Linked DNA regions of Astyanax mexicanus. The protein of the gene in region 2 binds, or shares a complex with, the protein of the main gene of each other region. Links are inferred from orthologs where the notes say so. Each region holds a gene or a part of one and is shown on either strand. Other genes may lie near its edges.

Evidence for each region.
Region 1: cyfip2 (region 2) and brk1 share a complex: the UniProt entries of both Homo sapiens proteins name them as parts of the WAVE1 complex. The link is inferred for Astyanax mexicanus from reciprocal best matches to the Homo sapiens genes CYFIP2 and BRK1.

The regions. Positions count from the first base shown.
Region 1 is NC_064431.1:28,740,184-28,757,720, reverse strand, and holds brk1 (probable protein BRICK1), read right to left. Parts: upstream 8,500-17,537; 5' UTR 8,454-8,499; coding exon 8,336-8,453; intron 6,404-8,335; coding exon 6,321-6,403; intron 5,608-6,320; coding exon 5,581-5,607; 3' UTR 4,653-5,580; downstream 1-4,652. Other genes in the region: histone-lysine N-methyltransferase SETMAR, read right to left, coding at 407-1,171, 2,592-2,690; uncharacterized protein C3orf62, read left to right, coding at 11,610-11,827, 11,935-11,993, 12,687-12,958. UniProt on the Homo sapiens protein: Involved in regulation of actin and microtubule organization. Part of a WAVE complex that activates the Arp2/3 complex. As component of the WAVE1 complex, required for BDNF-NTRK2 endocytic trafficking and signaling from early endosomes.
Region 2 is NC_064417.1:49,383,601-49,400,487, forward strand, and holds the start of cyfip2 (cytoplasmic FMR1-interacting protein 2), read right to left. Parts: upstream 8,408-16,887; 5' UTR 8,251-8,407; intron 1-8,250. Other genes in the region: itk (tyrosine-protein kinase ITK/TSK), read right to left, coding at 11,594-11,659, 12,816-12,973, 14,031-14,149, 14,252-14,316, 15,432-15,648. UniProt on the Homo sapiens protein: Involved in T-cell adhesion and p53/TP53-dependent induction of apoptosis. Does not bind RNA. As component of the WAVE1 complex, required for BDNF-NTRK2 endocytic trafficking and signaling from early endosomes.

The DNA.
Region 1 (17,537 bases), on a different chromosome or scaffold from region 2:
TAATCTGTGCATTTTAACACTTTTATCACATCAGGGCAGGACATGTCAAAAAGTTTAAAAAAAAAAAAAAAAAACAGTGCAGTTCGCTGTTCCACACTGACATTCTTTCCTTTGAGAACCTCCATTCTCTCTAATCAAATAAGTGTTAAATATACAAATAAGTGCTAGAAACCAGGTTTTATTTTAAATGTTTCATATTGTCTCATCAATTTCTGATTTGGCAGAGGCACAGAACACAAGCACTGCTTTCCTAAATAAGAACTTCATCCTAACTGTGAAGCATGGGGGTGGAGGTATTAAACATGAGTCTGCTTTATTACTTTGGTTCCAGGACATTTTTTGATAAATTAAATTATATAAAATGTGTGTTTTTTATTTTTTTGTGCATTTCAACACTCTCCTCACATCAGCACAGGACTGAAATATCTAAAGGTAAAAATCCAGTGCAGTTTGGAGCTCCACAGTGACATGGTTTCTTCTGAGAAGCTCCAGCGTCCATCTGTGTTTGTGTATTTGAATCATGTCCTCCAGAGTAGTCGAACATGAGCTCCTCACCCACTTCCACGTCTCGGCTGGCGAACAGCGCCAACCTGGGCGCTAGTGAATGCACACGTACGGGCAGCATCACTAGGTTAGGCTGGCAGGAGTGGTTCAGGAAGCGTCCCACGTTGCCCACAGATGCCGGGTCTACAAACGTCTGGATGAACCTCCTCTCTCCCCCGTGCTCCCGGACGGAGATGATATAGTTCATGTCGCTGGAAGTCTGAGAGAGCTGTCTCCGCCGCGCCTCCTGGAACCCAATCACCTCCCCGGCGTACTCACACACGAAGCAGCCCCGCGGGATCGGCTCCAGAGCCAGAACCCCCCAGCCACGGTCCTGAGTACGGAAGACGCCCAGCTGCACCCGCAGGCCGTTCTGGACCAGGCGAGACTGGCAGGACTCACTGCACTCACACAGGACGTTACACTCGAACACAGGCTGGCTGTGGAGCAGGTCGGCCTCGTCCGCCTGACGCTCGACCAGTCGGCCCTCGCTGGTGTAGGCTTGACCGAAGCACAGACACGGGCAGCCGTCCGGCACGCAGGACTGTGCTCGGCAAACACAGCCGGGCAGGGTCACCTCACTCGGGTCAACATCACAGCCTGGACCCTGTACGTTCTCCGGAGTGTACTGCAGGACACACATTACAGACACAGCAGTTAATACAGCAGCAGCCTCCAGATTTACCAGTACATTCTCCAAAATAAACATTATATCACAATGATACAATACTGTAATTCTGCAAAAACTATATCACACAATTCCCTACAATACTTCACAGCATCTGTGTTACTAGAAAGAACTGAATGTACCAAAGTGACTTTTATATTTTAGCACAAGATGGTTCAATAAAAATGGTAAAAATAATAATAACAACCCAATAGAGCCTGCTGACCCTTTAAAAGCTGTGTAAAATTCCTTACATCACTCTGTCCTTTACTTTAACTCAAAGTTCCTAAGTGACATATGACCTACTAAACATCCTGAGAGCATCACTTCTTGCTTATGAAGGTTTGTTCCGACCATTTAACCATTTAAATGCTTTAAAGAAATGTTTTCCATGAACAACCTTTTAAAGTTCAAAGTTATTTATTTTAGTTTTAATTACATTCATTTTCAGAACTTCCAGACTTGTGTCTGGTATTTTCTATAATAATTGTAATAATAATAATAATAAGAAGAAGAAGAAGAAGAAGAAGAAGAAGAAGAAGAAGAAGAAGAAGAAGAAGAAGAAGAAGAAGAAGAAGAAGAAGAAGAATGTACACTTAATTAACCTATGTACCCTTGTTTGATTTTCTTTTCTTTGGTAGATACATTTGTTATAACATGTCATATTTGGGATATATATATATATATATATATATATATATATATATATATACACTAATGCATCTCAAGAATTTTGAATATAATTGACAAGTTACTTTATTTCAGTTATTTAGTTGAAAATGTGAAACTCATATATTGTATAGATGTATTACACACAGAGTGATCTATTTTAAACGTTTATTTATTTTATTGTTGATAAAATCAGTGTCTCAGAAACGGTACTTTTGGCAGTGTGGGCAGTGTGCCAAGTCCTGCTGGAAAATGAAATCCGCATCTCCATAAAAGTTGTCAGTAGCAGAGGGAAGCTGTAAGATATGAAGTGCTGTAAGATTTTGTGGGAAGACAAAACTGCACTGACTGTAGACTTGATAATATAACACAGTGGATCAACACCAGCAGATGACATGTCTCTCCAAAGTAACTTTTCAATGATATTCTAATTTTTTGAGATGCACTAATAAATAAATATATAGATAAATAGTATAAGAATGTAGTTATATGCTAAAATAAAGATTTTGCTTCCATCTACTGGTCGTAAATATGAACTACAAGGCAGCGCATAAACAAACATAATAAAACATTATTAAAAAAGTGTGAAAAATATTATGTTTAGAGAAAAATAAATATAGAGAGCTTGAACTCGTCACAGTGCAGTAACACGCCGCGCTTCTGTAGAGTCTGTGTAAAGGGAATATACAGAAAATAATCAGTAAAAATCTACCTGCAGTTTGGACAAAGCGTCCTGACTCACACCGCTCTCTATTAAAACCGGAATATTCTCCAGACCGCCGCTTAAATCCGCACCGAATGAGCGCAGCATGCTGCACACCGCAGCCGCTCACCGCACCCGGAGACCGGCCCCGAAAACCGGCCCGACCCGAGGAGCTCCAACACTGACCCCGGCCCCAACAACACCGCGCACACCCGGCTACCTTACACACACCAACTAGAGGAGCAGCATCACCAGCCCGCACTTCAAAATTAAAGTCCCTAAGTCAGAGTCTTAGGGACTCAGTTAAAAAATGACTAGTTATATTTACAACATAAACTTTATTTTTTTTGCAGGTTTTTAATTAACGCAGCTATTAATTTTCTCACTGCAGAAAAACCTAAATGTACTTTTTTTCAAAATAAAAGCAGATATATACGGAGCCCCTAAAGGGACATGGTGTATTTTTTTTTTACGTAGAAAGTGGTAAGCACCGCTTACTAAGTCATGAGCACCACTTACTAAGTCGTGAGCACGACTTACTAAATCGTGAGCACGACTTACTAAGTCGTGAGCACAACTTACTAAGTCGTGAGCACCACATACTAAGTCGTGAGCACGACTTACTAAGTCGTGAGCACCACATACTTACTAAGTCGTGAGCACCAGATAATGGTAGCTAGCAAGCTATAGTTTAAACTGGCATATGTTCCACAGTGTAATGTGATTAACTAGCTAGGTTAGCTAATATTATCTATATTTCATTGTGGAATGTTTTAGCTAACGTTAGCTAGGTTAGCTAATGGTAACTACTTTATTTCAGTGGGGAATGTATTAGCTAATGTAAGCTAGTTTAGCTAATTGTAACTACTTTATTTCAGTGGGAAATGTATTAGCTAACGTTAGCTATGTTAGCTAATGGTAACTACTTTTTTTTCACTGGGAAATGTTAACTAACGTTAGCCAGCTTACTCTTATTAGATGTGCACAGAAAAGCTTTTGGGCACACGCACACACACCAAACACAGCGGCTACTTTAACCCAAGCCTACCATATATTGTACAGAGAGCAATGAAAGCCTTAAAGCTAAGCTAACTTAGCTAGCATTAGGTTAGCAAGCTAGATCTTTGTAAAAGCAGCCTACATTTGATCACACATGGCAGCTAAATAAATATGATTTTGATAACTGGATTGTGTCTAATAAGAGTTAGCTGGCTATCGTTAGCTAAAACATTTCACAATGAAATATAGATAACATTAGCTAACCTAGCTAGTTAATCACATTACACTATGGAACATATGCCAGTTTAAACTATAGCTTGCTAGCTACCATTATCTGGTGCTCACGACTTAGTATGTGGTGCTCACGACTTAGTATGTGGTGCTCACGACTTAGTAAGTCGTGCTCACGACTTAGTAAGCGGTGCTCACCACTTTCTATGTAAAAAAAAAAAAAATACACCACGTCCCTTTAGGGGCTCCGTATAAATGTCTATAAACATATAAAGATCTCTTTAAAATTCTAAATAAATTATACTTATATTAATAAGGTATATGTTTAACTAAAAATAACTGTTAATAATTGTTTTATTCTATGAACCACTGATAACTTTTCTTCCAAATTCCAAATAAAAATACTGTAGAAATACTGTAGTATTTTCAGAAAATAAATTGTCAAATTGAAGGGGCCAGACCGTAGTCATAGTTTGTGGTCCCTTTTCATAACTGTCACTTTGTTTTTGACCAAACTGGAAAGTTCAAAAGCTGGGCCTAAACACATATCAGAATAAGCTTCAAGTATTAAAAGAGAAGGTAAGATCTAAAATATATTCCTTTGAAATAAAATGTTTAAGAGAAAGCAACAGGCAATAATGAACCTAAATTAACCTATAATAAATGCTTAATAGATAAAACATTTTTATTGTGGCTGTGCGAAATTTGTGAGGCAACACTAATTAAATAAAACAAATATGGAAAAAAATAGTATCAAATTGTGAATTTTAGTAAGAAAAAAAAACACTGCTAAGCCATATTATTTAATATATATGAAAATATGATTAAAAAACACAACCCTGACAGTTACTTGATTTTTTTATTTCCTTGTTTAAACCACAAAACATCAATGTATGAGCATTAAATAAAACACAAAACCGCACTGCTGCAGATGCATCCGCCTCTTCAACATGGTCTGATTGGCACTTTAGAAACTCCCCCACCCAACACACGCTATTATGTGCTTTGTAAAGCTGCTAAGATGTTCGTTCTATTGCATGAGAGACAAGGGTAGCCACGTTTCTGCATATGCAGGCTTATTTTGCATTTTAAACAATTACAAAATATATAAAGAAACTAGTTAAACACATTAGGGGCAAAAAAATAAACAATTCTCACAATTATCTTTTTTTTTTGTTCGGTTAAAAATAAAATGGAACCGTTATGATCTGGAAGGCATCCAGGCTATTCTTCTGTCCATGTTTTATTTACTGATTACTTTACTGAACGCTCAATATTTCTAAAAGGTTTAGTGTCTAAGTTTGCATGTTTAGAACAGCTGTTCAAGCTTGAGAGCAAAGTTAAAAAGGGGACCAATCAATCGTATGTAACAAGTCAACTGACCCAAACCAAGGATCCAAAATAAAACAACATTGTTCATACTGAGGCAGAAAGTGTGGAACACATTTAAAATGCTCATAGACGTCATCACAATGGTCCCGCACGTTAAAGCCCCAATTAGGAACTGCAGCAGCTGCTCAAAACAAGAGACTTTTAAAGAATGCCCTCTTAAAACGTAAAATGTGCATGTTTTCCACGTTCTCTTTTTCAGAAACAGAACTCAGAATCAGTCCAGTGATGGTGCTGCTGCAGCAGTTCCTAATTTGGGCTTTAAGAGGCTGGTCTAAAACAGTCTGTCAAGTGACAGTTGGTTGAGTTGTTGAACTTGAATGGAAAAGGAGGAAAAAACGGAGAGTGGCCATTTTTCTCGTCCTCTGCGTTGAGACATTTAGGTCAGTGTTTCCCCTTTCGTAACCTTGAAGAGAAAAGGAGAGAAAGTGAGTTATACTATGCAGCTCATTACAGATACAAGATACATTAAAGTTGTGCTTACACATAAATTATTTTAGCTTGATTTGGCTGTTGCTGAACAAGCTGTCTTTTATTTGCTTAAGTTGAATATTTAACACCCAGCAGTTTCATTCTGAGCTGTAGCACTATGGTCCAACTCACCAAGTTCCTGTTTAGAGGGTTACATCTGTGCCACAAACCTCAACTAATGCAGAATGCAAACATGCAAAAGCGTGACGATATTTTTTATTTGCATTGCATTATGTCCGTCTAAAAAAATAAACTATTAATAGTTGAGTAGAGTTTTGCATGTAAATGACAAATGCACGTAAATTCTGTCTTCTGTTCTGAGAGGCTGCTCTCTGACATGCCACATTTCCTAGCTAAAAAAAAGTCTTCACCTGGATTTAATTAAGCAAATTATGTGGGGTTGATGCTGAAGTTGGTCAGGTCTAGGTTCAGGAACAGTATGTGCTGAAAGAATGAGGTCAGCTGACTACCTGAATATAGACCAGATTATTTCACTGACAGCGAGACAGACCTCAATCAATCAAAAGCATGTGCATTATCTGTGTTCAGATTCATGGCTTAGCTGAACCCACACAGAGGAACCAGGCTGCTAATTGGAATAGTGTATAATGCTGTTAATGGACTTTTTAACACCACATATGCTCTTACTCTGGCTTCAATGTACTCAATCCTCCTCTCCAGGGCAGTCAGCTTCTCATTCAGGGTGGCTAGGCGGGACCTGCACGACATATCTGGTAAAGAAAGCAGAGAGATATTCAGAAACTGATTGTTACTCTTACTTTTGTACATAAGCATAGTTTATTTAGCAATTTTTTAGCAGTAGACATTTGTACAATATAGAAAAAAACATCCATTTAATAGTTGTTTTTGCCATATGCTGCCAGTCAAAATCATTACTGTCAACATACAGAAACAAGACAATATATAAAGCACATCCCAGATATCCATCACAGGGAATTGGCCACTTGTATTCTGGAAAAGGACCAAGCTATGCCGACTGCAATATTACAATTGGCCAACACTGGCTGAGCTACTTCAAAATATTTTCTATCTTTTTTATTACTGGTAGTTTCAATAGACCTATTCTTTGGTTTATCCAGTTAATGTGAAAAAGAGGGATTAAAGATGTGACCAGTCTATGTAAGAACCAGTTGGCTAAAAATATTTTGCAAATAAACAATTTTCAAGCGATTTCACTGTCGCAGACAAATTTCCAGTGTCAGGATAAAATCATAAGAGTGTTGCTAGAGTTGATTTGCGGTCGTGTCATCTTAATTGTTCAGTGTAAGATGGTTAGGATTGAAGTCAGTGTTTTTCGCGTCCTGACAATCAGATAAGACCAGATAAAATCGATCGTGTTAAATATTGTCGTAAGTTTTGAGACTTAGCTCACACAAATAGTGACCTGAACAATGTCAACAACCAATCGAAGAGCTACAGGAAGCTGCAAAGCAATATTACTTACTTTTTTACTTAATATTTTACGTGACTCTTCACAAACGATAAAAAAAAAAACACATTTTGCAGTTAATACGTCTTAAATGGACCTTACTTTAATATGTACAATACTTTAAACACAAGTAGCACTTTAAAGTCAATATATATAAAGTTATTTTATTTTGCACTACTTTGTCTTGTTGTTCAGTGTTATTTTTGATACAAACAAGTTTAATAAATACACATTTTGCAAGAATGGTGTTCTTAATTGCATTGATTCTATCTAAAACAAAGTTAAATAGGTATAGCAGTGAAACTGTGATTCTTTTCTTTTCAAGGTTGAAGCAAAAAAGTGAAAATAAGCAAATTGGCAGAGTTAAACACAAAATGTATTATATTAAAAAATATCAAGAAGTAACATTGTGACTAAAAAATAAACTGTTGATGGGCCAAAAGCTGTAAATCTCTAATAAATCACAGTATTGATGTACACATTATTTGTAACTCAAAATGTAATTCGACTGTATGTAATCTCCACCAGAAGCATGATGGTAAATAATCTCAGAAATAATCTAATTGCAGTCTTGCAAACAGTGATCCTCTGTCTATCTGTGAGTAAAAAGTCTGTGACTTGTCTTTGGGTGTCTACTGTCTTTTTAAAGTTCTCTGGTGTATGGTTAGCATTAGTCATACTGAGCTGCAGCGCCACCAGAACGCACCCAGAAAAAAACAGGAAGCTAAAAGAAGCTAGTGGTTTATATGTAGCTAAGGAGGTATAATGAGAAATATACATTTATATACACTGTACTGTAATATTAAAGACTCACATTTACGGTTTATTACACTCAAAAAGTTTATCTATCCCGCCAGCTAACTGCATTAACATTACTGTAGCCTGAGTCCACTATGTTTATGTTTATATTGACGGGCTAAGCTAGCTGGCTAGGTTAGCTAAGCTATAAGGCTAAACTAGCTCTCTAGGTGACGACTTGTCCTGTATAAATATGTACACTACACCCTCCCCAGCTCCAGTTACGCTCTAAATAACGAGCCAAAAGCCTGTGAACATATCTAAAAACAGGGATAACCCACATTAACCAGCTAATAGTTATCCATCCGCCCCTCCTCATTCCTCCACACGCTAGCTAACACCGTTAGCACCGCGGCTACCGCAGCTCACGGCCGGTTACACACAGCCCCCAGCCCGCTCCTCTGGCCGAACTCACCGAAGGAATTGAGGAAATCGGCTATTTTCTTGATGCTGCTGGTAATCACTTCGATATACTCGCGATTTGCCCAGTCCTGGTGGATTTCTCTCTGCACTGGATCCTCCTGTCCGGCCATGTTGATCTACTGAAGCCGCTGCGTTTGTTTTAGTGGCTCCGCAGCGCCGCCTGCAGCCAAACATGCGGCGAAAAACTCAACAGTATACGGCTCCTCGAAAAAGTGGGTCATTCTGCAGTTTATTCCATTTAAAAAAAATAAAGCAGATATTAAGCAGATATTATTGTTGTTTACCAGACATAAATCTTTATTATTTATCTCGATTTCTTTATCTTTAATAACAAAGTTTATATTACAAAAAAATTATGCAGTAATAAGGTAATTAGAATCAGACATTTTTTTTGTTCATCTTTATTTGACACTTCTCTATCAGCCATTTAACCAAAAGTTTTTGGACTTTAAAATTAAACCAACATTTTTTTGGACCTTTCTTTATCAGCCCAAATATTGGCATTCCACCATTTAACCAAAAGTTTTTGGACACTTCTTTATCAGCCCAAGTATTGGCATTCCACCGTTTAGCTAAAAGTTTTTAGATTTAGCATTTATTTAAGCAATATTTAAGCATTTAACCAAATGTTTTTGGACTTTATCTTTTAACCAAATGTTTTTGGACACTTCTTTATCCACCATTTAACCAAAACATTTCTTGATTTTAGCATTTAACCAAACGTGTTTGGACTTATACATTTAACCAAACGTTTTTGGACACTTCTTTATCATCCCAGGTATTGGCATTCCACCATTTAACCAAACGTTTTTGAACCTTATCATTAACCAAACGTTTTTGGACACTTCTTTATCAGCCCAAATATTGGCATTCCAGCATTTATCCAAAGGTTTTTGGATTCTAACATTAGACCAATTTTTTTGGAACCTTTTTAATCATCCCAAGTATTGGCACTCATTTTTTTTATTTTAGCATTTAACCAAACGTTTTTGGCACTTCTTTATCAGCCCAGGTATTGGCATTTCACCATTTAACCAAATGTTTTTGGACACTGCTTTATCAGCCCAAGTAATTGGCATTTCACTATTTAAGTAAACGTTTTTGAACCTTATCATTTAACCAAAGGTTTTTGGACTTTATCTTTTAACCAAATGTTTTTGGACTTTATCTTTTAACCAAATGTTTTGGACCCTTCTTTATCAGCCCAAATATTGGCATTCCACCATTTAACCAAAAGCTTTTTTGGTTTTAGCATTTAACCAAAAGTTTTTGGACACTTCTTTATCAGCCCAAGTATTGTCATTCCACCATTTAGCTAAAAGTTTTTAGATTTAGCATTTAACTAAAGGTTTTTAGACTTAAGCATTTAACCAAAAGTTTTTTGACACGTTTGAAACAGCCCAATTATTGTCATTCCACTATTTAACCAAACATTTTTGGACTTTAGCATTTAACCAAATGTTTAGTCCAAGTATTGGCATTCCACCATTTATACAGTTTACCATTTATTTTGAGACTAAAGTAGCTTTTAAACGTTATAAAATATTAACAATATGAAATATAATAAATAATAAAAATGTAAATAAAAATCTTAAGAATATTGACATCAATATTTACATTGTACATGAAAAAACACTGTTTTTTCACATTATGAGGTATATAGGTGTGAGTTCTGCTTCTAGTAAGTGTATATAGTGTGTGGGTATGTGTACATTGTATGTATGAAAACACTAGCTATAGGTAATATACAGTTGTAGATGTGTTTATATTAGCAATGCATTCAACTAATTTATTTACACAGACTATTGGGAATTTACAGCTTATTGGACGTCAGGGGCTGGAGCCTTGAGTAACTTAAGCGACGACAACGGCTTGGGCAAAAGAGGGCTCCACTGACACACGGTTTTAGGCAGTGACCTATATTCAGGCATTAGTTTTACCCTACAGACTGTCATATATATACTATATATATAAGATCAGAGATTAACCGTAAATATCCATTGAAAATTCTGTGAAGTCTAAAACCATGCTTAATCTCTGTCTGGGGAACTGCCCTACAGTGTCCTAGATTAATCTAATTATTTAACGTTAATTGATTAAATACTATATTAAACAGCCTATATAAACGGAAACGTTGTGAATTATTTAAATATCTATTTGAACGAACGATTTTAACGTTAACTGGCTTCTTTGTTAACCAAGCTAGTTAATAACTAACCTAGCTAGTTAGACAGGTTAATTTGCTAACGCTAACATTAATTATCCAATTGCTGTTCATATAAATACAGTTTACTAGGAAAAAAGTAAGTGCATTTTTGAAATTATTATACATATCAGTTGTATTAGCTAGAATATATATTTTTAAACTTTTTCAGAATTACTGATAATGAGGCATAAATGACCTTTAGCATTACTGGCTAGCTTAGCTAACCTGGTAACCTAGAAACTGAATCTTCTGGTTGTTTATGTTAGCTAGCTAGCTAACTAACTAGCTTGCCCAGCTACCAGCTTGGTGAATCAACCAGGTTAATAGACAAAGAAGCCCATCTAACTAAAACAAAAAAACTATAAATAAATAAAATAATAAGTTAGTTAACCAGAATAGAGTATGTTTCCCTGGATTCCCTGGATTTTTTTTTTACAATCTTGACCATTAAAGATCTATGAAAGCCCATTCACGCCAGCTAAAATAAACACAAATTCCAGCACATATTAATTTTCTAATTATTGCATACATACTTTTTTCATTATTTTGAGATACTATGTCGTAATTGTGAGATTCTAAGTCATTATTTAGAGATACTATCTCGTTTTTGTGAGACATTATTTTGAGATGCTTTCTTGTTATTTTCAGATATAAAGTAAATATGTTTTTTAGATAATAAGTAGTTATTCTGAGATACTAAGTCACTATCTTAAGATACTATTGAGATATCATTATTTTGTGATGCTTTCTTGTTATTTTGAGATATGATGTCATTATTTTGAGATATCAGTATTTTGAGATGTTAACTTGTTATTTTGAGATGTAATGTCATAATTTTTAAAAACTTAGTTGTTATTTTCAGATACTAGGTCATTGTTCTGAGATATTTTGAAATGCTAACTCATTATTGTGAGATAATAAGTCATTATTTTGAGATGCTCTCTCATTATTTTGAGTTCACAGATACAGCACAATAATGTGCAGTTATGTCATAGTAGTTTTTTTTTTTTTTTAAGACTAAAAAGTTAAGAATGTTGTCTTTATCTTGGTAGCTAGAAAAATGCCAACCCAGCTAAGACAGTATATACAAGGCCTTTCAGCAGCCCGGGATCATGAGTACTGCTCACCTGCTTCACACAACACCTCAGAACCTGTTATTTATGTCTCGCCTCAATACATTATTGGCCACACTGAGATCCTTCATGACTGCGGCCTCTGCCCAGTGTACCATAATGTGATGTTTAGACACTCAGAGAGGCCTGATTGCAGGCCTGCATGGTGAGTATGTGCTTAACTGTGATTATATGATTGTAGTATATGCCTTGGTTTTCTTAAAGATGTCATAACACTACTAATTATTGTCCACACCCTTCCTTATGACTTAGCCTGGGATCCAAAAAGAAGTCTGAAGGTGCCGTGCCACAGAACTGCGATGGATTGCTTGGTCTGTGTAATCTCTTTATATTTATATATTTACACATACAGCTCTGGAAATAAATAAGAGACTACTTAAAAATGATGATTTTCTTTGATTTTACCAAATTAAAAACTTCTGGAATATAATCAAAAGAAAAATTGATGATCACAAGCCATGAATTTTTGCACCAGGAATGGCATGAAGTTATCCAAAAGCATTGTGTAAGACTGGTGGAGGAGAACATGCCAAGATGCATGGAAACTGTATTCTAAAACCAGGGTTTGTTATTTAACCATTTCTCATTTTCTGCAAATAAATGCTCTAATTGACCATTTTTTTATTTAGAATTTGGGATAATGTTGTCCATAGTTTATAGAATAAAACAAAAATGTTCATTTTACTCAAAGCTTTACCTACAAATTGCAAATTCAGAGAAACTTAATCAGAAACTGAAGTGGTCTCTTAATATTTTCCAGAGATGTATATCAATCTAGACTTTCCTTGACAGTAGAGATTTTTTAAATTATTTATTAATTCCCTTTATTCTAGTAGAAACAATAAATGAACAGGCATCCCCATACCTTTTTTTGATTGCTATGCATTTAATTACAAATATGTGGAATTACAGTATACATAAACAAGGCCAGCACTTCATGGAGGTCAGGAATGCTGTAACGCTGCAGTTATGTAATTCTTCCTGTTCTTGTTCCTTTCCTGAAGAGGCCTCCAGCCTGCAGACTCTGGAGGAGCTACTAGCAAAGCTGGAGTTTGAGAATGAGCTCAACCGGGTGTGTGGTAACCTCAGGGTGAGCACGAACACACAGTCATCACCACTACCATCAGACAGAGGGAGTTACAGTACTGAAAGTGCAGACAGTGGCGTGGAGGAAGGTGAAGACAGTGAAGAGGACACTGATGGTGAGGAAGATGTGCTCACAGGCCTGCTGGACATGGTCCTGGAGATGGAGCAGGACTATGACCTCTACTTCTAGTTGTGGGTGGATCAGAGTTATTTTCCTTGCATGGGCAGAGCACTGGAGCACAGGACTCTGGAGAAATGGATTTTAGGCTCTAGTTTAGTGATAAAACAATAAAGAACTGTGGCCTTAAAAGTTACCAGTTAACAATAAATAATAAAAATAGCCTAAATAGCCTAATATCTAATATCTAAATGTTTAATCATTTTCTTATTGTTTGTGATTTTTTTAAATAACATTGCAATCCAACACTTCATTCTAAATAGCATTGCAATCTATGTATTATTATTATAATATGAACACTGCCAAAATCTCATCTGTCTAACTGAAAGTTATTTTTATTTGTTTTTTAAAACGAACTTATTGAGAAATAGATATTTTTAATATATTTTTTTATACATTTTTTGAAACATATTATTTATATTTAGCTTTAACGTAAACTGTTTATAAATATGGAATGTATAAAACTTGTGTGCCACATTACAAATAAACAAGATAAAAAATTCCGGATCTGTGGTCTGTACATATAACCTTATTAAACTTGGAACTGAGACATTATAAATAAACATGTTCAAAGAGCCAGGGTCTGTCTGCAGTGTTGGAGACCCATGACACAGTGGTATCTTCGCCAGTCTGTTATGTAAGCCATGACCTACAGTTTAAATGAGACAGCTGAGCAAGGACAACACTGAGGCTGACCTAGAGGAGGGAATGGCAGTAATAGTACAAGTACCATAGCAATTGCAGATGACACAGTACTCTTGTCTCTGCATCTGGACAACATGCTGGAGGAGCCACTAAAGAAATAGCATCAGAAACAGTACATGCTCTGTACATTCATTCTCTTACGCTCATCTTACCAGTGATCAGTGAACTGTGAGATCAGCTCACAAGATTTTGCAGGACCCTTATCATGTTTAAATGGCTTCCATCAGGACGCAGACTTTGCTGTCCACAGTGCAGGACACAAAGAAGGAAGACTCCCCAGGGCAGTCCAGCTCCATAATCCTGAAGCTGATATATAAAGTGTAAATTTACGTGCAAAGGTGTGAGAAGTTTTCATATATAGTATTAATTTTTAGATACTAGATTTTAAAAATACTTCTTTAGAAAGTGAAATATCAACTTTTTTTTTACTAAGCTTTTTACTCATCTTCATACTACACTACATACGTCTGCTATGTTCTTGCTGGAGTGTGTGTGTGTGTGTGTGGGGGGGGGGGCATGACGTGATGTGCAGGTGTAATGGATCACAGTATAAACCAATAGGGAGTTGGAATGGTATATGTTTATACTTCTCTACATCCAATCACAATCAGATTCACTCTATCTGGATGATAGTCATATGAAAAATAATTACTCCAGTACAGTATAGATAACCTCTCTTGACACCTCAGTTTATGAGTATCAATGAATGTTGTACGTGTTGTGTCTGTTATTTTATGCCTATTGAATTCCCCTTGGGGACAAATAAAGGAATCTGAATGTGAATCTGAATATGTCCAAAAGATCCATATTCTCTAAATACTGTATACTGCCATATATAAATTCTTACTCATTGCGGTTTATTCAATGTGCATGTCTGAGAAGCTTGTCTCAGTCATTAATCTTTAACCTTTATTTTGCCACCTACTGACTATCAAAACTAATCATTTTTATTGCCAGCTAATCTTTACCAGTGTTATACATGTTCTTACAACACACACAGCACAAAGACACTTCTGTCTGACTGTAATACTCTCACACACACACAAACACAGGTCACACAGTGTCAGGACTTTTGCCAGTATCTGGTTGTTTGTTGTTGTGACATTCTGCTATGGTGCAAAGGAGAGCTGAAATCTCTACAGACGTACACACATGCAATTCTGCATGTAATAAAATTACACATACAGCTCTGGAAAAAATTAAGAGACCACTGAGTTTCTCTGATTTTGCTATTTATAGGTTTATGTTTGAGTAAAATGAACATTGTTGTTTTATTCTATAAACTACAAAAACATTTCTCCTAAATCCCAAATAAAAAAAATGTAATTTAGAGCATTTATTTGCAGAAATTGAGAAATGGCTGAAACAAAAAAGGTGCAGAGCTTTAAGACCTCAAATAATGCAAGGAAAACAAGTTCATATTCATAAAGTTTTAAGAGTTTAGAAATCAATATTTGGTGGAATAACCCTTGTTTTTAATCACAGTTTTCATGCATCTTGGCATCATGTTCTCCTCCACCAGTCTTACACACTGCTTTTGGATAATTTTAGGCCACTCCTGGTGCAAAAATTCAAGCAGTTCAGTTTGGTTTGATGGCTTGTGGTCATCTATCTTCCTCTTTTTATATTCCAGAAGTTTTTTAAGTGGCCTCTTGTTTTTTTCCAGAGCTGTAAATGACATGATATGTATGTCATTTATTAGAGTATTTGAGCCCTCCTCACTCATGAACACCACTGCTTTCACTGCTTTAAATGAGAAACAAAAAACTTAAGGTCTGCTCTTTAATAATAATAAAAAAAAAGGTTGCCCTTTTTTTTTTTTTTTTACCTAATTCACCTTATCCTTTCATTTACATTTCCAGAGTGACTTACATGGTTATTTATATTACAGAAGTGGACCAATGTAGTGTTAGGAGTCTTGCCCAAGGACTCTTATTGGCGTAGCACAGCTTTCATTCACCCAGACCGAGAATTGCACCCTAATCTCCCTAATCATGATTATGATATCTCACTAGCAGGTAGTGGTGTTATCCACTGAGCCACACCAATCACTTTCAGTTAAAAGGAAACCAGTAGCACAGCAACCAATGAGGAAGTAAAAAAAAGTGAAGTGTTGTGGTTTGCCTGGTTCTTTCCTGAATTTCGACAAACTTCTCTAGATTAGGTAACAAACAAAAAAGGAGAAACAGTTCTTTTTCATTATGGAATGTTTATTTGGTTTAAAAGAGCTGGACGGTAGAGCTGAGCATTGCTGGACGTAGTTAAATTACCACTGTTATCAACAGACATTTACATTTTCATCAGACACCCCCCTCACAATAGATTTCAAGAGGCGCCTTCATAGAGTAAACAGCCTACAGCACAGTCGCACTCTACCCAAGTCAGCAAAGTCAGCCAACACACACTAAAACAGAGCCATCTCAAACAGAGCTGGTGGCCAGAAATGATAGGACGGGGGTAGATGTTTACTGCCCTTATCTCCTGTCCACACAACCCCAGCAGGCCCAGCGCCAGGCCAGTTTACTTGACCTTCTTGAGGAGCTCCTTGATGTCGGCCTCGATGTCACTGGTCAAGAAGTTCCTGCTGTAGCGTTTAAACGGCTCTCCGTCTGGACCAATCAGAAACTTCTCAAAATTCCACGAGACGTCATTCCTGCAAACCGGGCTCCAGATGATGAACTTGGGGTCTGTCATCAAGGCCATGGAGTTGTCACTGGGAAAGGGCAGCTTCTCCTTCAGGAACTCGAACAGGGGATGGGCATTGGTACCATTTACTTCGACCTTCTCCAGCAGCTGGAAGCGAGGCTCGAAGCCGTTCCCTGGACGGACGTACTTCAGGCAATTGAGGATTTCTTCGTTCTTGCCATTCTCCTGGTTGGGACAGAAGAAACAAGTGAATTAATTCAGGCAGCTCTGTGGGCTGTTATTCCAAAACCTCAGTGACTTAAGAGCCCATTACAGCATGCCCTGGAGCCCTCATTATCAAATTTCACAAAGTCACGATGATAAAAACAACAGTCTGTGTATGCAGGCCTACTAGCTTCATAACCAACTGCACAGGAGCAATTATATAATTAATCCTATTTTTAAAAATACAGTATGTATTTGTTTATGGTTCAATAACGCATATATTAGGGGTTTCATAGGCCTACAGTATTTTTAGCACTGTAAGGCGCAATAGATTACAAGTACATTATAAGTACATAGATTATAAGTACATTACATAATGCCTTGAGTATTTTCAAACATAAGGCATTATAAGGCACTCTGGTGATTTTTGGGAAAATTATAGAATTTTAAGTGCACCTCATAGGTCAGAAATTTCTAAAGATTAACTAATAAAGTGTTTTTGTTCTACAATGTCGCATTCTCAACTGTACCTAAAATAATTATTTTTCCTGTTGGGTTGCACCACATGATATTTTGACTTATTAAACAACAGAAATTAACTTTAACCAATATAGTGTTTTTTGAAAAGTTAAAGTAAGTACATATGTAGGTACATACAGGAGAGGTACCACATAATCACTCTAAACTAGTGGTGTGCCATTTCGTATTGTATGCAATATTATAGCCACAATTTATGTCACGATTAAAAAAACACTCCATATAAAAAAAATAATAATAATTACATTAAATCATATTTATTTTATTATTTACTGTATTTACTTTTCTTAGTTTGCAGTTTATATGCAAACTTAGCATTTGTCATATTGCCAAGAATATTGAAATAGTGTGATATTGTTTTAGGGCTATCAGACACTTTCTGAGGCAAAAGATATTTTCAAAGAAATCAAATGCAGTATAATTAATCAGACACATTCTGAATGTATGAATTATACACCACTTTTTAAATCACAACAAATTTTCTAAAATTTCCACAATC
Region 2 (16,887 bases):
TAAGTAAAATACAGCTCTCAGCTGGAGTTAATTTTAACACAAACTTCTTCACAGTGTTAACAAATAATGCAAAAATGTGTGTAATATTTTAACCACCTGAAACATTTAGGAGTAAAAAAATAAAACAAAAAGCATCATTATTGATTACAATAACAATTTCATAATCAACAAGTGTATGCCTGTGTATAATTTTACATTGCATGGCAACTTTAATCCCGCATTGCAGTTCTCAGTGCATTACCAGCACTTTATCACACTTTACAGTGCAGAAGAAATACCCCATAAAGGCTAACCCTAGTGGGCAAGACTTTACACTGATGGTAAGCTAGGATTGGGGGACACACCCATTAGAGAGTTCAGTCACACTCCTCAACACCTTGGAATAAATTCTGAAATACTACACCGCCAAAGAGTTCCCCTCAACTCAACTTATACTCACACAATTTAACACTTTCACATATTTTTATTTAACTCCAGATTTTTTAACTTTGCTGTGTATTTAACTGAGGGGTTTTGGTAAGGCTAGGTGGTTTATAGGGCTGAAACTGATGATTATTGTGGTAGTTGACTAATCTGATTTTTTTTTTTAAGAATAGTTGATTAATCAACAGTTATTTATGCCATGCTGTCCATCACTTTAAAGTGAAAGAAATAAAGGGCACTGAGTGGCCCAGCTATGTGCTACCACTATGACTGGGAGACTGCTAATCCCGGTTATACAGTTTGCCATCAGTTAAAATAACACATTGTTCTCATTTCCCATTATATATCTGCTAGAGACAGATTATATCTGTCTAGTATCATTTATTGTGCTTTAATCCAGGATATATGGAGATATTTGGAGTGCATTATTAGTATCATGACATTCTGGATCATTGACTTCTGTTACAAATGGCATTACCATGAATGCCTTCCAGCTTGCTGTAAAAATAACATATTATTCAGCCACGCCCACTTTTTGTGTTTTTGGTTTCTTTAAAACATTTTTAAAACAGCTTTTAAAGTTTTTTTATATTCCCTACAAACTGCAGCTTTGTCTGGTGACCACATTTGGCTGTTTCATTAGAAACATTGAGCAGCTGCAACATAAGCCTTCATTTTGAATAGAGACATCACTAAAATGTTTCAGTTTTGTAATTTATATATGTTGCAAATTTGTCAAAGAAAATCAATGTGTCAATTATATATTAAATAAATCGTTTATTAATTGCAATCAAGGTCAAATATTCTAATAATTGAATATATTGATTTGAGGTCAAATCAGCCAGTACTAGTTCTTGGTCACAGGGGTACACTGCCTTTTTGGGCCACCACAGTTAAGAAACTTGTGGCCACAACTTCTTTATTATTCATAAAAGTATATGTGTTGGGGTCCATCATCATCACCATACCTTCACAGTAGATACTGAAGAGCTCAAAGTTAACGTTATCTACAAAATCTGATTTGATTTAGGGAAACAAAGTGGTGATTCTGGCCACATGCTCTGCATTATTAGTGGCTAAAATGCAAGTTGTGGCCAGTTGGGCATCACGCAATACAGGCCATGTATACCACTATTCTGCAATACACTGAATATGACACAAGCTGTCTAGTTGAATAGAGAATCAGTGCACACAGTATTATAAATATTATTGCAATTAGGGCTGGGCAATAGGGGTGCCCGCTGCAGTTAGTGGCTAATGCTGCTGCACCTAGCCTTAATGCTGGAGAAACTTGAGCACTGAAAAATCTCCGTTAGACAAAATATTGGAAATCTAAGATTACTGTAAACAAACGGAAGCGCTTTTAGGAGAGAAATCTGTGTAGATTAACATTGTTTGATTTTGAAAGAAAATGTTTTTTTTTAAGCCGCTTTTTACAGCTTCCCCATGAGAAAGGAAACATGGCGACGCCCTTGCTCACTTTGATGTAGGTATCCTTACTAGTGTCGCTTAATGTGCCTTATAACCAGCGCACCTTATGTATGAAAATAGACCAGAAAATAGATGTTTACTGATGATGCGCCTTATAGTCTGAAAAATATGGTAATATATTTGCCATTTTTCCTACCTACAGGTAGACAAGCCTGTCTTTGCTGAATGTTAAACAGAGAAATACACAGACTGGGACAGACAGACAGAGTCTGATGGTGACGAAGCCAAAGTCAACTTTCCCACACTGCTGAGAGTCCGTCTCTGAACCCACATTCCTATACGTTACTCGAGCTTCACAAAGCCAGAACCAGCGACCTGAAAACACACATATCTGCTCCTCAAATCCCCCACGCTTAAACAGGCTGCGCTATAAACTGCACCCCGTACTACGACTAAACGCTAATTACGGATTACAGCACACCAGCAGGCGAGAAGGCAGGAGAAAACAAATCCACGGCTTCTGAACCTCTGAACTGCTTTAACCAGCCTGTCCTCACTCACGTAGACCTGTCACAACAATTCAGTCATCAACTGAAATATATGCACATCATCTCAATTCTAATGTTTGGTGACCTCAATATTACCCATTGTGTTTTATTATTGAGGAGTGTCAACTCGTTTTTCAGCAGTTGTGGTAGATTCACAAATGGCAGGTAGTAGCTTTACTCACACAAATTACACCAAAAAATAAAGCTTTCGTCATTTTTCACTTATCACGTTTAAAAATAGGTTACTACCTCTTTTAATACTGTCCGTTTTCCAGCAGGAAGTTAAAAGCTGTACAGGACTAGGATAGTAACACTAGCTGAGGTAGCTTAGCCTTAGCATTTGTTTGTTTACCAAAAAAACTTGTTGCCTTTCACACCTCAGTAGCACCACTGAAGCAAATATATGATTAGAATAGCATTGCTGTCATGTGAGGTAAAGTCAGGTTTTCTGCTGGGGTGTTAAAATGTTTGTGTTTAATAACCTGCAGTTTTGTAACTGAGACAAACTGTTTTGTAGGTAAGACAAAAATACATTTAGGTAAGCCAAATGTTACATTTTTACCGACCTTAGTTTCAGTTTCAGATTTTATTTTAGTGACGCTCCAGTGTAGCAGAATTAGTCATTAGTCTTAAAATGACAATAGTACAATTTATTATCATGGATGAGAACAGCTATTCTACACTCAGAATGCTCAGAACGCTACCATTTATACCTCCAGTAACAGACGTAAGGATCACCCTGGTAGGCGGATGGGCAGCAGAAGACTGCAGGGAGATCACAGGGTTCTCATGAATTGAGCCACTGAGAGTGTGACATGTTTGGGTCATGCCGCTCAGTGAGTTTCCTCTTCCAAAGGCCTGCAGCATAACACACACTAGAATTGGGCAGTGTGATGATATTTTATGGTATTGTGTTACATTTCCTTATCATATTCAGGGTTCCAGATTAACTTTTTTCACAAGCGTCCCAGAATTGTCCCAAAACCGTCTCAAAGGTAACCAAAATACTTATACTTTATTATTTACCATTAATGTTGTATTTGTTTGTGTACCATTCAACAGCCATAATGCCATTAATTGTTTTGACTTTCTTGTCCATATGCTCCTCCTACTCTTGCAGTGTATCTGGAAAGAGACTCTGCACTTATAATTAGGAAAACTCAGTGATATTTCAACCAGCAAGCTGTCTCAGAAAACTCCTGAAAGTGTTGCAAAAAAGCTTTAATCCTGTCTCTGGGACGGTGGAACCGTGTTAGTCTGGAACCCTGGTATTCACAATATGCTTTAATAAGCATATCATGGTTATCATCAATGCTTAAAGAACACTAACCCAACTAAACATTTCATTACTATTTTCACTGTACTTGTCATGAAAGAGTATGTGAATAGCACCTTTTTAGGAATCTGGCACACTGCTGATGCATGTTGTGTGTATGTCAAAATATTGTTATGAACATTGTGCATCATAAAAATGTCCTTTAATGTTGTAATACACATTTTTTACAATTTCACCCAGCTCTCTCAGTTTGTGATTACATACACCACAGGTGGTGGCTTATATATTTTTCATATTTCAGATTCAGAATTATATCACATTGAATAAATCCGAAAAGAACCAAATCATTGAACTCAGGTGTTGCTGAATCAATTGTGTCGACAGGTGTATAATAATAAAAGCAGCAGCTAGTCATGCTGGGACTGCTTCTACAAACATTAGTGAAATAATGTGTGGCACTCAGGAGCTCAGTGAACTCCAGCACTGTGGTACAGTGATAGGATGCAGCACCTGTGCAACAAGTCCAGTCGTGAAATTTCACAACTCACTACTAAATATTCCACAGCCAACTGTCAGTGATATTATAACACAGTAGAAGAGACTGTGTCAGTGTAAAATAACAGAGCGGGGTCAGCGGATGCTGAGGAGCATAATTCACAGAGTTCACCAACTTTCTGCAGAGTCACTACACCAATCACTACACACCTCCAAACTTCATGTAGCTTCAGAGTTTATCACTACACACCTCCAAACTTCATGTAGCTTCAGAGTTCATCACTACACACCTCCAAACTTCATGTAGCTTCAGAGTTCATCACTTCACACCTCCAAACTTCATGTAGCTTCAGAGTTCATCACTACACACCTCCAAACTTCATGTAGCTTCAGAGTTCATCACTACACACCTCCAAACTTCATGTAGCTTCAGAGTTCATCACTACACACCTCCAAACTTCATGTAGCTTCAGAGTTCATCATTACACACCTCCAAACTTCATGTAGCTTCAGAGTTCATCATTACACACCTCCAAACTTCATGTAGCTTCAGAGTTCATCACTACACACCTCCAAACTTCATGTAGCTTCAGAGTTCATCACTTCACACCTCCAAACTTCATGTAGCTTCAGAGTTCATCACTACACACCTCCAAACTTCATGTAGCTTCAGAGTTCATCACTACACACCTCCAAACTTCATGTAGCTTCAGAGTTCATCACTTCACACCTCCAAACTTCATGTAGCTTCAGAGTTCATCACTTCACACCTCCAAACTTCATGTAGCTTCAGAGTTCATCACTACACACCTCCAAACTTCATGTAGCTTCAGATTAGTTCATCACTACACACCTCCAAACTTAATGTAGCTTCAGAGTTCATCACTACACACCTCCAAACTTCATGTAGCTTTAGATTAGATGAACAACAGCAGAGTGTATAGAGACTCATGAAATGGAGAGTCGTCATGGCCAAGCAGCTCTATGCAAATCCTCACTAGTAATGCCCCAACACCAGGAGGGTGAAGACTAGCACACGCCTTCTCCGTCACATGTGAAGTCAGCCACCGCCTCTTTTTGAACTGCTGCTGATGCAGCATTACTAAGTAGCATCACAGTGCGCTCGAGGGTAAGAGCAGCAACTGGGTTCTGATACATCAGCTCACAGACGCCTTGTGCTGATCCACATCACCCACCCAGAGAGAGCAAGACGAATTGTGCTCTCTCTGAGCTCTGGCAGCCTATGGCAAGATGCATGAACAGGTTTCACGCCTCAATCTGCCGATTGTTTGTATGAATTTGTAACACACTACAGGTCCATCAGTCAGATCACTCTATTATAAAGACAAAGTGTATTAATACTGGACACAATGCCGTACGCTGTTCCTTCAAGAATGATAGCAGAGTGGAGAATGCTGTTCAACTTAGCATCGGCCTCAGCACCGGACTGGATTACATCATAGATTTATGATGGATTTCCTTCAGGCTATGAAATTACACTGAGGCTCTGAACAGGCCGGCTACAGTGAGTGATGTACTGACTGATGACTAACAAGCAGTGTATTCATACTCTGTGCTAAGGGCACCGTCTGACAGCCGATGACCAGCTGATAACCTGTTGAAATATCATTTGTTTCTCATCGTCTCTGTAATGGAGGCTTATAGGTTGAACACACTGGTGAAAAATGAGGGATATTATGCTTATTTGGTCTCAAAAGAGCATGTCTCAGGTTAGCACAGTTCATAACAGCACTTTGGACCAGCAGTGTGCCATATAGTATTATACATAATAATATTGCTAACCTTTTTAATATCGTGAATGATATTACAACCTAAAATATGGTGCCATATCACCCAGCCCTAATTATCACATTAGGGTACTACTTTTTGCAGTTTTTAGCAAAAGAAAAATTCACACTGTTCTCATTTCCCATTATATATCTACTACAAACAGATTATATCTGCCCAGTATCATTTATTTTACTTTAATCTTGGATATATTGAGATATTTGGAGTGCATTATTATTAGTATCATGACATTCTGGATTATTGACTTCTGTTACAAATCTGATAAAGTTCTTGTATTTTTTAATATATCCGTTAGGGGTGTGCTATATGTATGCAATAGTAAAATTGTATTTTCATTTTGTTGCAGTAGTGTGTTATTTAATTTTTCTTTTAATTTAGTGTTTTGTCTTATTGGCAAAAGTATCGTTATTGTAAAAATACCATGAAATATTGTGCTATTGTTTTAGGGCAGATAAACCTTTCACACAACTAAATAGATCAATATTTCCTGTTTCCCTTCTGCCACCCTATTATCACATTACCTGATAAAATTAATTAGTTCTCAGTCAGCATGAAGTCGCAAATCACAGCAAAGAATATGGTCACTTTTTTATGGTTTACAACACTGTGGCCAGAAATTCAATCTTATTAAATATAACTAAATATCCAACGAAAGGTAGCACACACTGATGACAAGTAAGGAAGGGGTATTTTTTGTGTAATATACTAAGAAATGTTAGTTAGACATTACCTAATTTTTAGTGTGCCCCAGCTGTTCAGTTTAGGTATCGGTCATTTTTACTATTAAAATATGGGGTAAACAAAGTGAGTGCAAATGTGTAGCTTGTGTAGGTTTGTGCCATATCTCATTGTAAAAAACATTATCGCAAAAAACTCTTGACATGATAAAAAAAAAACTCAAGAAAGCAGTAGTTAGCATTATTTTTGTTTCTATTTTTCATTTTGTTACACCATTATTATATAGTGCAAATTCAGGGTCTTGGCAAGTTACTGTTTAGGAAATATACAAACAAAACATCACTTTCTCTAAATATAGCACAAAGTCCAAAAATTCGTTTTGTATTGACTGTTTTGTATTTATTTTGATAAGTTTTTTATTATTATTATTATTATTATTATTATTATTATTATTATTATTATTATTATTATTAACCATTATTATTTTATACAAATTCAGGGTCTTGGTAAGTTGCTGTTTACAAAACAGACAGGCATTTATAACGTTAGATTTTTATTTAAGTTTCAACTGAATGTATGATTTTATGTTATATTTATTATTAGAATTAACTCAAAATATCGCTTTCTTTTAATATAACACATTTTTTTCCAGGAAGTCCAAGATTTCTGCAATTTGTGTGCACTAAATATGCTGAACTTGGTAGATTTCTGTTGTTACATTACATTATTTTTGTTATATTTCTTTATTTTGTTACACCATTATTATTTAATACAAATTCGAAAGTGAAATTTATGAAACACGTATATTTATGCCAAATTGTATTTTCATATGTAATATTAGAATTATTTAAAACAACACTTTTTTATTATAACCCATTTTTCCAGAAGAAGTGCAGAAATTTGCTGTTTAAATAGGTTAACGTTATAAAAACACAGTAACAGCTAGTTACGTTAGCTAGTTAGCTTAGCGTTAGATTAGCTAGCAACAGCAGTAACCAGCTAACCTAGCAACCATATTACAGCCCACACTGAGAAGAGCCACCTTAATATAACCCATATATCTAACAAAACACACGCGTTAAAGCTATTTCTTATTATTATACAGCAAATAAATACAAATCTGCATCTAAAACAGGCGGAATCAGTGAGAAAACCCAGATATTTATCAGTATTTCTTCGTATGGAGGCTCTGACGACAGTCCTCCCCTCACCCCACCCATAACGGGGAAGGATGCTTCTTTCAGTGAGGCAGCGGAGCAGCAGCACCACCGCTGATACTACCGCCGCTATCACCGCTTCTACTGAATGAACGGATGCCTGGTTCACACAAGCGCCTCTATATTATACTTATTATAAAACCACAAACCCGAGAAACGCGCTAAACAAGCAGAAACACCAGCAAACAGCAGGACTAGACGGGTCTCAGTGATAAAAAATGACGGCGCATCGCGAACTACAGCAGCAGCAGCAGCAGGTCCCCTCCTCCTCCTCCCTCCCGCCGAGCCTCCATCATCCCGCTATCTATCTAACCTCCTCCTCATCACCAGACCCAGCGCTTTAAACACACACACAGCCCAGCTCACAGCCTACCCGCAAATCTCATGTCCGCCCGAAACCGAACGGACCGGCCAAAGCGCAACTCGGCTCTCACACAAGCCGGGGGAGGGTGCCTCTCTCCTGGATCTCCACCGACTGATGCTCCGGCTTCAGCCCCGTCCGCTAATCCACCCACCCCGCACACAAAGAGCAGAAAATGGCTGCAAGTGCTTTTCTTAAAGTGACAGAGGCCCATTTATCTAACATGAACTATGCTAAGCTAATCTATGCTAAGCTAACGCTAGCTTAGCTGGGTACCACTTTAAAAAGCTCTTTTATAAAGGGTTTATAAATACTTATAAAGCAGTTTATTAATGGATATTAAGTAATAAATGTCTGTTAAAAACTTTATTCATTTAACTTTAATAACATATTAAATGACTAACGTTTTTCTGTATTATTCAATTACACATGTTAAGTTATAGTCACTGTTGTTCCTTCTATTTAGGTGTTGTAAGTTACGCTTAAAAAACGCCTTTATAAACTATTTATAAAACCTTAATAAAGGAGTCTAATTTTAAAGTGGTATCCTTAGCTGCCTCTCTGTGAGTGAGTTATCATTAGCCAAACAAACAAATTATAAATACTGGTGTTTATTACTGGTGTTTTTTTTTTTTTTTTCAATTGCTAAAACATAATTTTGTAAACTAGTCGGCTGGTTTTATTAAATACTAAATACAATTCACAAAACCACCCAACACCCAAACTACCTCAAACCCTCATAAATCATGAAATCTAAAATATTTAACACTTCTACTCAGTGATTAAACTCCTGCATCCAGAATGCAATGGATGCAAGAAAGTTTTTTTAGGCTTTCTTGGTCACATGACATTGTGTTCAGTAGCTCCTCCATTTCCACTCGCTGTAGTATTTTTACATGGATCTCCGGATGTGCTTCCGGATGGGACTAAAATTACTGGAAGAGAATGGAGTTCAGCAAACAGTAGGTAATTCAGTACATAACAGTAGGTAATTCAGCCTGTAATTTTCTCAGACGACGTCTGAGAAAAACACATACATGGTCGTTCCGGACGGGAATAAAATCACAGAGGAGCCCCACCATGACTCCCTGAGAAACAAATCCCGTCCGGACAAGGCATAGAGGTGGGCGATATGGCCCTAAAATAAGATCAGAATATTTCATGGTATTCTTGTGATAACGATACTCGATATGACAAAACGCTAAATAAAAAAAAAATCAACAATACACTACTGCAAAAATTTTAATTAAAATGTATTATTGCATATGATATTAAATGGGCATAGCATGGCAAGTGGGAATAAAATAATAATAATCCTTTTCTGGATGAATTTGTTGAAGCAAATAAACAGTCAAATATGCAGAAGTGTGTCTCTATAGAGAATATTCTTTTTATTATATAGAGAAAAAACATAGAGAAAAATAAATAATCATATTATTTGACCAGAAGTGACTGACTTTCCACTGTAATGGTTAATATAGCATAATATAGTGTGTATTATACAAAACTCACTTTTTGCGTCAGGAATCATATGCTTCTATGTACCGATTGGATGTTTCCCTAGCTTCTTATTGTGACATCACAATAAGAAAACCTGCAGAGAACCACCCTGGCACCATTCCTGAGAACCTCTGACAGTACACAGCAGGATTAGGCAGCAGACTTTGTCTGAGTGAGGGCTCTGTACCCACTGCCTGCACAAGCTATGTAAGATATAAACACTCAGTGTATGTTTTGTATAGACCATATACCTATTCTAACCTGTGTAAAAAGAGGTCCCCTTTAAGCTATTGTAGATCACATCATTCTCCTATTAAAAGTCATTTGCTTTGGTGTCATTTTGTTCCAGTGAGTGGTGAAAGGTTTAGATAATAACTGATAGGGAAATTGAAAAAATGAAGTAGCTGTCTGCTTGAATATTTCATGCTAGTTCATTAGCCTACAACAGAGCGGATAACCCCACTGGAAACACATTCAATAAAATATGAGGTGAGCCGACCATGTGCTCTGGGCTGTTTGATACATAGTGAGGCCTGGCAGCCTGTGTGTGTGTGTGTGTGTGTGTGTAACCCTTGTGTGGTTTCCACAGTAACCAAAGGAGGCATGTGTGTGAGGGTGAGTGGGTGTGTGTATCACCATGGGCTTCTATAGTAAGTCCATTCGTCTGGTCATCCTGTTCTTTTTAAAGCGTGTGTGTTTGTTTGTGTGTGTGTGTGTGTGTGTGTGTGTATGTGTGTGTGTGGTCACAGATTAAAACATGGTATATTTGTCTGATTAGGGTTTTTTTGCTTTTATTAAAAATAAAACATGGTATTAAAATGACTTATGATACATAATATTTGAACCAACAGTAAAAAATATAATACAGTAAATGAAGTAAATAATACAGTAATGAATAGTTTTGAGGCTGAAGCTCTATCTAGTTTATTAAATAGCTTGTGTTCGCCCTCTAGAGCAGAAGAGCAGAAGTGTTTTAATGCAGCTACACTACAAGAGTTTATACAGCAAATAGGTTTAGCTTACAAACACACCATTGATATACGTTCTAACTCAGTATTCTAGTGCATCTAATGTCATCTGCTGGTGTTGATCCACTGTGTTTTTATTATCAAGTCTAAAGTCAGTGCAGTTTAGTTTTCACACAAAATCTTACAGCGCTTCATGCTGAACCTCTGCTACTGACAACTTTTATTGAGATGTGGATTTCATTTTCCAGCAGGATTTGGTACACTGCCCACACTGCCAAAAGTACCAAATGGTCTAATATAATATTCTAATTTTCTGAGACACTGATTTTTGGGTTTTATTGTCTGTAATCCATTATCAATAGTAATAGGAGAAATAATCACTCTGTGTTGTATCTATAAAATACAATATTTAAGTTTCACATTTTGAACTAAATTACTGAAATAAAGTAATTTTCAAGGATAGTATACATTTTTTTTAGATGCACTAGTATACCAATAAAAATTACAATTGAACTAGTAATTAGCATTTTTAACTAGTAAATGTTGTGACTGCAGACATCTCCTCTGTAATTTTGACTTAGACAAACTCAGATCAGTTTTAGATCAATTAATATTATTATTAATAGTTAAAAAAAATTATATTATATTATTACAGTGTACATTATACAAGTTAGGACTTTATCACTGGTGTAATTTTAGGCAAAAATGGCTTACCATATATTTATCTACTAAGGCACCAAAGGCTGATCCATTAGATCAAGGTTGCTCAGAAATATAAAAAATGTAGAAATAAATAGAATTTACAAATAAATAAACTGCTATAAACTGTACAATATATCTATATTCAGGTTTCTGATTTGTGTATGAAATTTAACACAATCCATGGCTCAGAAGTCAGCAAGAGAGGCCAGCTGATGGAGGAGCAGAGCGAAGGACGGCCGGTCTTCAGGTTTCTATTAGAAATAAAATAGAATTAAATGAAGACATGCCGTTATAATAATACAGTTAATACAGTAGATTAAACAAGACAAATGCCTCACAAATCTGCCAAACTCATGCTTCTACTGTGATGCTGATGGCCTTTTCTGCTCTCAAGCAATGGAAGCATTCAGTCACTTTGGGCTCCTCAGGCACTAGGTACACTTTTAACACTTTCAGACCCTCCATCCACTATTAAGGACATTGTGTTGTTAATATTTGTTTTTTAAGTTTATAATAACATATCAGAATAGACCAATTAAAAACTTTTCCAGCCAATAAAACAGCCCCACCCACCTCACTGGAAAACAGCTGTAGTAGGGCACGGCAGCACTTGAGCCAAAAATGAAAAATTAAGGGTTCATTTGTATTAAATTAAAGTAAGATCAATATCAACAAGTAACAATGTTAAAAAAAATATTACCATGCCTTGGAAATAATTTAGGTCTAGGCATTCTATGCCCGAAAAACGTAAGTTTCACGTAAAAATGGTGCCATGCATACAAGGGCATTCAGTGGGTAAAGATGCATGCCTTCCGTGCCTACAAGCTCATTCAGTGGAGGATGTAAAATCGTGCACAGTGCAAAACATATATGCCTTGAATGCCGAAAAGCACAATCGCTGTGTAAAAGGCATGCCTTGTATAAAATCAGGTGCCATGCATAAAAGCCCATGTCCTGCTTAAAAACGTGCAGCATGTGTGAAAGCACATGGCTCACATAATATCTTGCGGCATACATAAAAGTGTATACCCTTCATGGTGAAAAAGCAGGATTTGTGCGTAAAAGCCCATGCCTTGCGTAAAAACGTTCATCGTGCATTAAAGAGCATGTCATTCCTAAAAGGCGTGCGTAAAAGCGCATGCCTCACATAAAATTGTACGCCATGCATAAAAGTGCATGCCTCATGTAAAATTGTGCATAAAAGGCCATGAGTAAAAACACGCGTAAAAGTGCAAGTCATGTGTAAAAGCCCATGCCCTGATTAGAAACGCACACCGGGCATAAAAGCCCATGCCTCACGTAAAATTGTACGCCATACATAAAAGCCCAAAAATGTGTGCTGTGCATGCCAGAATTTAAATCTACTGTAAAAACCCTTAGTGATGCCACTGAAAAATCCTCACTCACCTCTTTCCAGCACCACTGCATCAGCTGGTAAACGGTTTCTGGGCAGAGGCGGGGCTGCAGTAACCTCTGTCCGGCGTTCAGGGACTCGATCACCTCCGCGTTGGAGCGATACTCGTAGGGCAGCCGCCCCTCGCTGTAGATCTCCCACATCAGCACACCTGAGATTACCAAGACCAGTTAAATCAATAGGAGCTCATACTTCAGGAGGAGGACATACTATACTGAATATCATTTATCATCAAAGTTGTAATGTTTAATATACAGTTCAGATATATTTACTGCATTAGTAATATTTAGTATGTAATAAAAATACACAGAGCTTAAGGAGGTGAAGGAATAGTTAAGGCAATATTGATTTATCACTTACCTCAGATTCAGTCTTAAAAAATTAAGTACATAAGAATAACACTAATATTCTAAAAAAGTAAATGGTAAAAATAAAAACAAAAGTTGAATTAGGAAAAAAATAAAAATAAAAGGATTAACTGTTGGCAGGTCAGTGTATATGCAAACAGAAATACAGCTCTGGAAAAAAAATAAGAGACTTAAAAATGATGAGTTTCTTTGATTTTACCAAATTGAAAACCTCTGCAATATAATCAAGAAGAAGATGGACGATCACAAACCATCAAACCAAACTAAACTGCTTTAATTTTTGCACCAGGAGTAAAGGCATAAAGTTATCCAAAAGCAGTGTGTAAGACTGGTGGAGGAGAACATGATGCCAAGATGCATGAAAACTGTGATTAAAAACCAGGGTTATTCCACCAAATATTGATTTCTGAACTCTTAAAACTTTATGAATATGAATTTGTTTTCTTTGCATTATTTATGGTCTGAAAGCTCTGCATCTTTTTTTTGTTATTTCAGCCATTTCTTGTTTTCTGCAAATTAATGGTCTAAATAACAATATTTTTATTTGGAATTTGGGACACAGAAATGTTGTCTGTAGTTTATAGAATAAAACAACAATGTTCATTTTACTCAAACATAAACCTATAAATAGCAAAATCAGAGAAACTGATTCAGAAAATGAAGAGATCTCTTAATTTTTTCCAGAGCTGTAAATGGTGGAAAAACCTACTGTTTTTCATTTAAAAAATCACAATCAGTTTATAATATTGTATTATGTAGAGGTTAGAGATTTAGATCTGCATAACTTCTACTTAAATCTAAATACAGCAGGTTTAAATTAAGAAATTACGTCGTACTGACCGAATGACCACACGTCTGACTTGCTGCTAAACTTGGTGTGGTTGATCACCTCTGGTGACGACCACTTCATGGCGAATTTGGAGCCGGTTGAGCAGACGTACAGATCATCCAGCACAGGCCTGCAGGGTCCAGCAGAAAATGATGAGAGGTGATCATGTAGAGAGCATGCCCTCAGCAGACAGGAAAGGTTTACTGTACCTGATAACAGCTTGTTTTCTTACCTGGTCATTCCAAAATCAGACACCTTCACCTCAAGCTTTTCTGAGACCAGGCAGTTTCTCGCCGCCTGCAAACAGGAAAGATTCATTACTTTCATTACTAAAGACTCAGCAAGTGACTTAAGTTATATAATTGCATTATTATGCTATTATACACAATCGGCTCTATCATACACACTGCGCAAAGTGTTATCACGCATCACAATTCTCATTGTGCTGAGAAGCATTGGACGTTTCCAGGTATCTGCGTTGTTAAAATAGCAATCCACCAAAATCAGAGCCCATCTGGCTCTTAAAGGTGCCCTTCCCCTAAAATCCACTTTTTCTTGTTCTTTGTGAAAAACAATAGGTCTCTCTGAGTTGTATATGACGCTGCACATGATAAAACTCTTCCTCAAACTCCATTGTCTGCAGCAGCTAGTAAAAGAAAATATTCAGAAAAACGAGTCGATCAGGAAAAGCACTGTGTCTACATCAACCCGTGAATTAGTATTCATGGCCCCGCCCACCTCGGCTCAGGACCGCCCACAGACAAAGCTGAAGCCGGGCAGTGACGCCGTCTTGTCAGATAGGAGCAAAATAACAGCCCTAGGAACAGCATGCAGTTCATTGCAGTGTTATTTGTGCAAATAACACATCAGTGTTTATATGCTTTACCCAGTAATTCAGAGCTAAAAAACAAATAGCTAGAATTTGTCTATAGGGGGAACAACACCAGCCAAGCACAATTGAGATAGGTAGGTGTGTGTTTAGAACAGTTCTGTTTACACTAGTTAAAAGTAAAAATCCACTCAAGCTGTGTGTAACCAGGTGGGTTTACATAGGATCTCCGGTGGATTTTACGTTTTACAGAGAGTCTAAGACTAGGTCAGTGGCTGAATGCACTTAGCAGGGCATTATTACACATGTTGTAAAGTAACATATCACATTGCAAAGACTGTTATTAGTGTTAAAATGTCTTTATTTCGAAACATCTCTAACTGTTGTCCGTCTCACAGTCACGCGCCATAGACCAGCTGCCTACCGTCCACCTTCTGTCACTTTTCTCGGGTTAGTGGCCTTTTTTACTGACATTACTGATCTTCACATGTATTCTGACTTCTAATTGTCTAATTAAATGAGCAAGTAAATCTAGATTAGTGTAGAGGAGCAGATCTGACAATCCCTGAGAGTGCAGGTTTACCAGATCTCTGTGTATAAAGTTGGAACTCTCCAGGTAGTCCATGGCCTCGCTCACATCCAGGCACATCCCCAGCAGATCCTCCGGCTTGAAGGAGCCTTTTTTGGAGCGCAGGAAGTCCGTCAGGCAGCCATTCTCCAGGAACTCGAAGATCAGACACATGGGTGAGCGTTGCATGCACATGCCATACAGCTTCACCAGCTTAGGGTGGGACAGTTTCCTGTTAAACAGGAAGAGGAGGTGCAGTTATAATCAGTGAGCTGCTACCTGGAGTTACATTATACTAGACCTGAAGGACAAAAAAAAGGAGAAGTCTGGTGTGAAATGGACTTAAACTGAAATATGGTTATACACTGAAAAAATGATGCGTAAAATTTACTTTGCGTAAAAAAGTTTCGCAACTTTCTGCATTTGCTTTTTTTAAGTAAATTTAATTTCAGATAAATTTAAGTAACTTCAACTCGGTTTCAAGACTTAAATGTTACACAGAATAAATAAGTGAACTGAACTTCAGTCAATCCTTTCTTTTAGTAAACTTTACTTCATTTATTTTTACTGAATCAATCCTTTCTTTTAGTAAACTTTACTTCATTTATTTTTACTGAATCAATCCTTTCTTTTAGTAAACTTTACTTCATTTATTTTTACTGAATCAATCCTTTCTTTTAGTAAACTTTACTTAAATTCTGCATACATTATTACCTAATTACAAGTAAACAATATTTACATAATCTCAAATATTTATTTTGTAAACAGACCAAGTCTCACTGTCTCAACACATGGATGCATGTAATACATTATTTTTAGTTTACTAGTATAAAGAATGTATTACATGCCATCCATGTGTTGAGACAGTGTGATATGTGTGTTTTAACTAAAAAAAAAAAAAAACAGGAATTATAATCTATTATGTATCATAAAGTATTTGAGTAATATTGTATAAATTAAGTAATTGTAATTAGGTAATATTGTATGCAGAAATTAAGTAAAGTTTACTAAAAAAATAATTGATATAGCAAAAATAAATGAAGTAAAGTTTACTAAAAGAAATGATTGAATGAAGTTCAGTTCACTTATTTACTCTGTGTCTTGAAACCGAGTTGAAGTTACTTAAATTATCTGAAATTAAATTTACTTAAAAAAAGCAAATGCAGAAAGTTGCGAAAAATTTTTAAAGTAAATTTTACGCATCATTTTTTTGTGTATTTCTTCTTATCAGGTTTTACTACAATCCAAATCCATTTTACACTGAAGTTCTCCTTTAAGTATTTATTATAAATACACAACTCTAATGTGTCCTTTGTGAATGCTTTACAGACACAACTTATCTAATTTTCTGAGTTTCCTTTTAATTTGACAAAATCTAATATCGAATTAAAATAAATTAACAATCCAATTTATCCTATTCCAATTACATTTAATTTAAAATGACTTTTTTATGTTTTACTAGGCTAAAGAG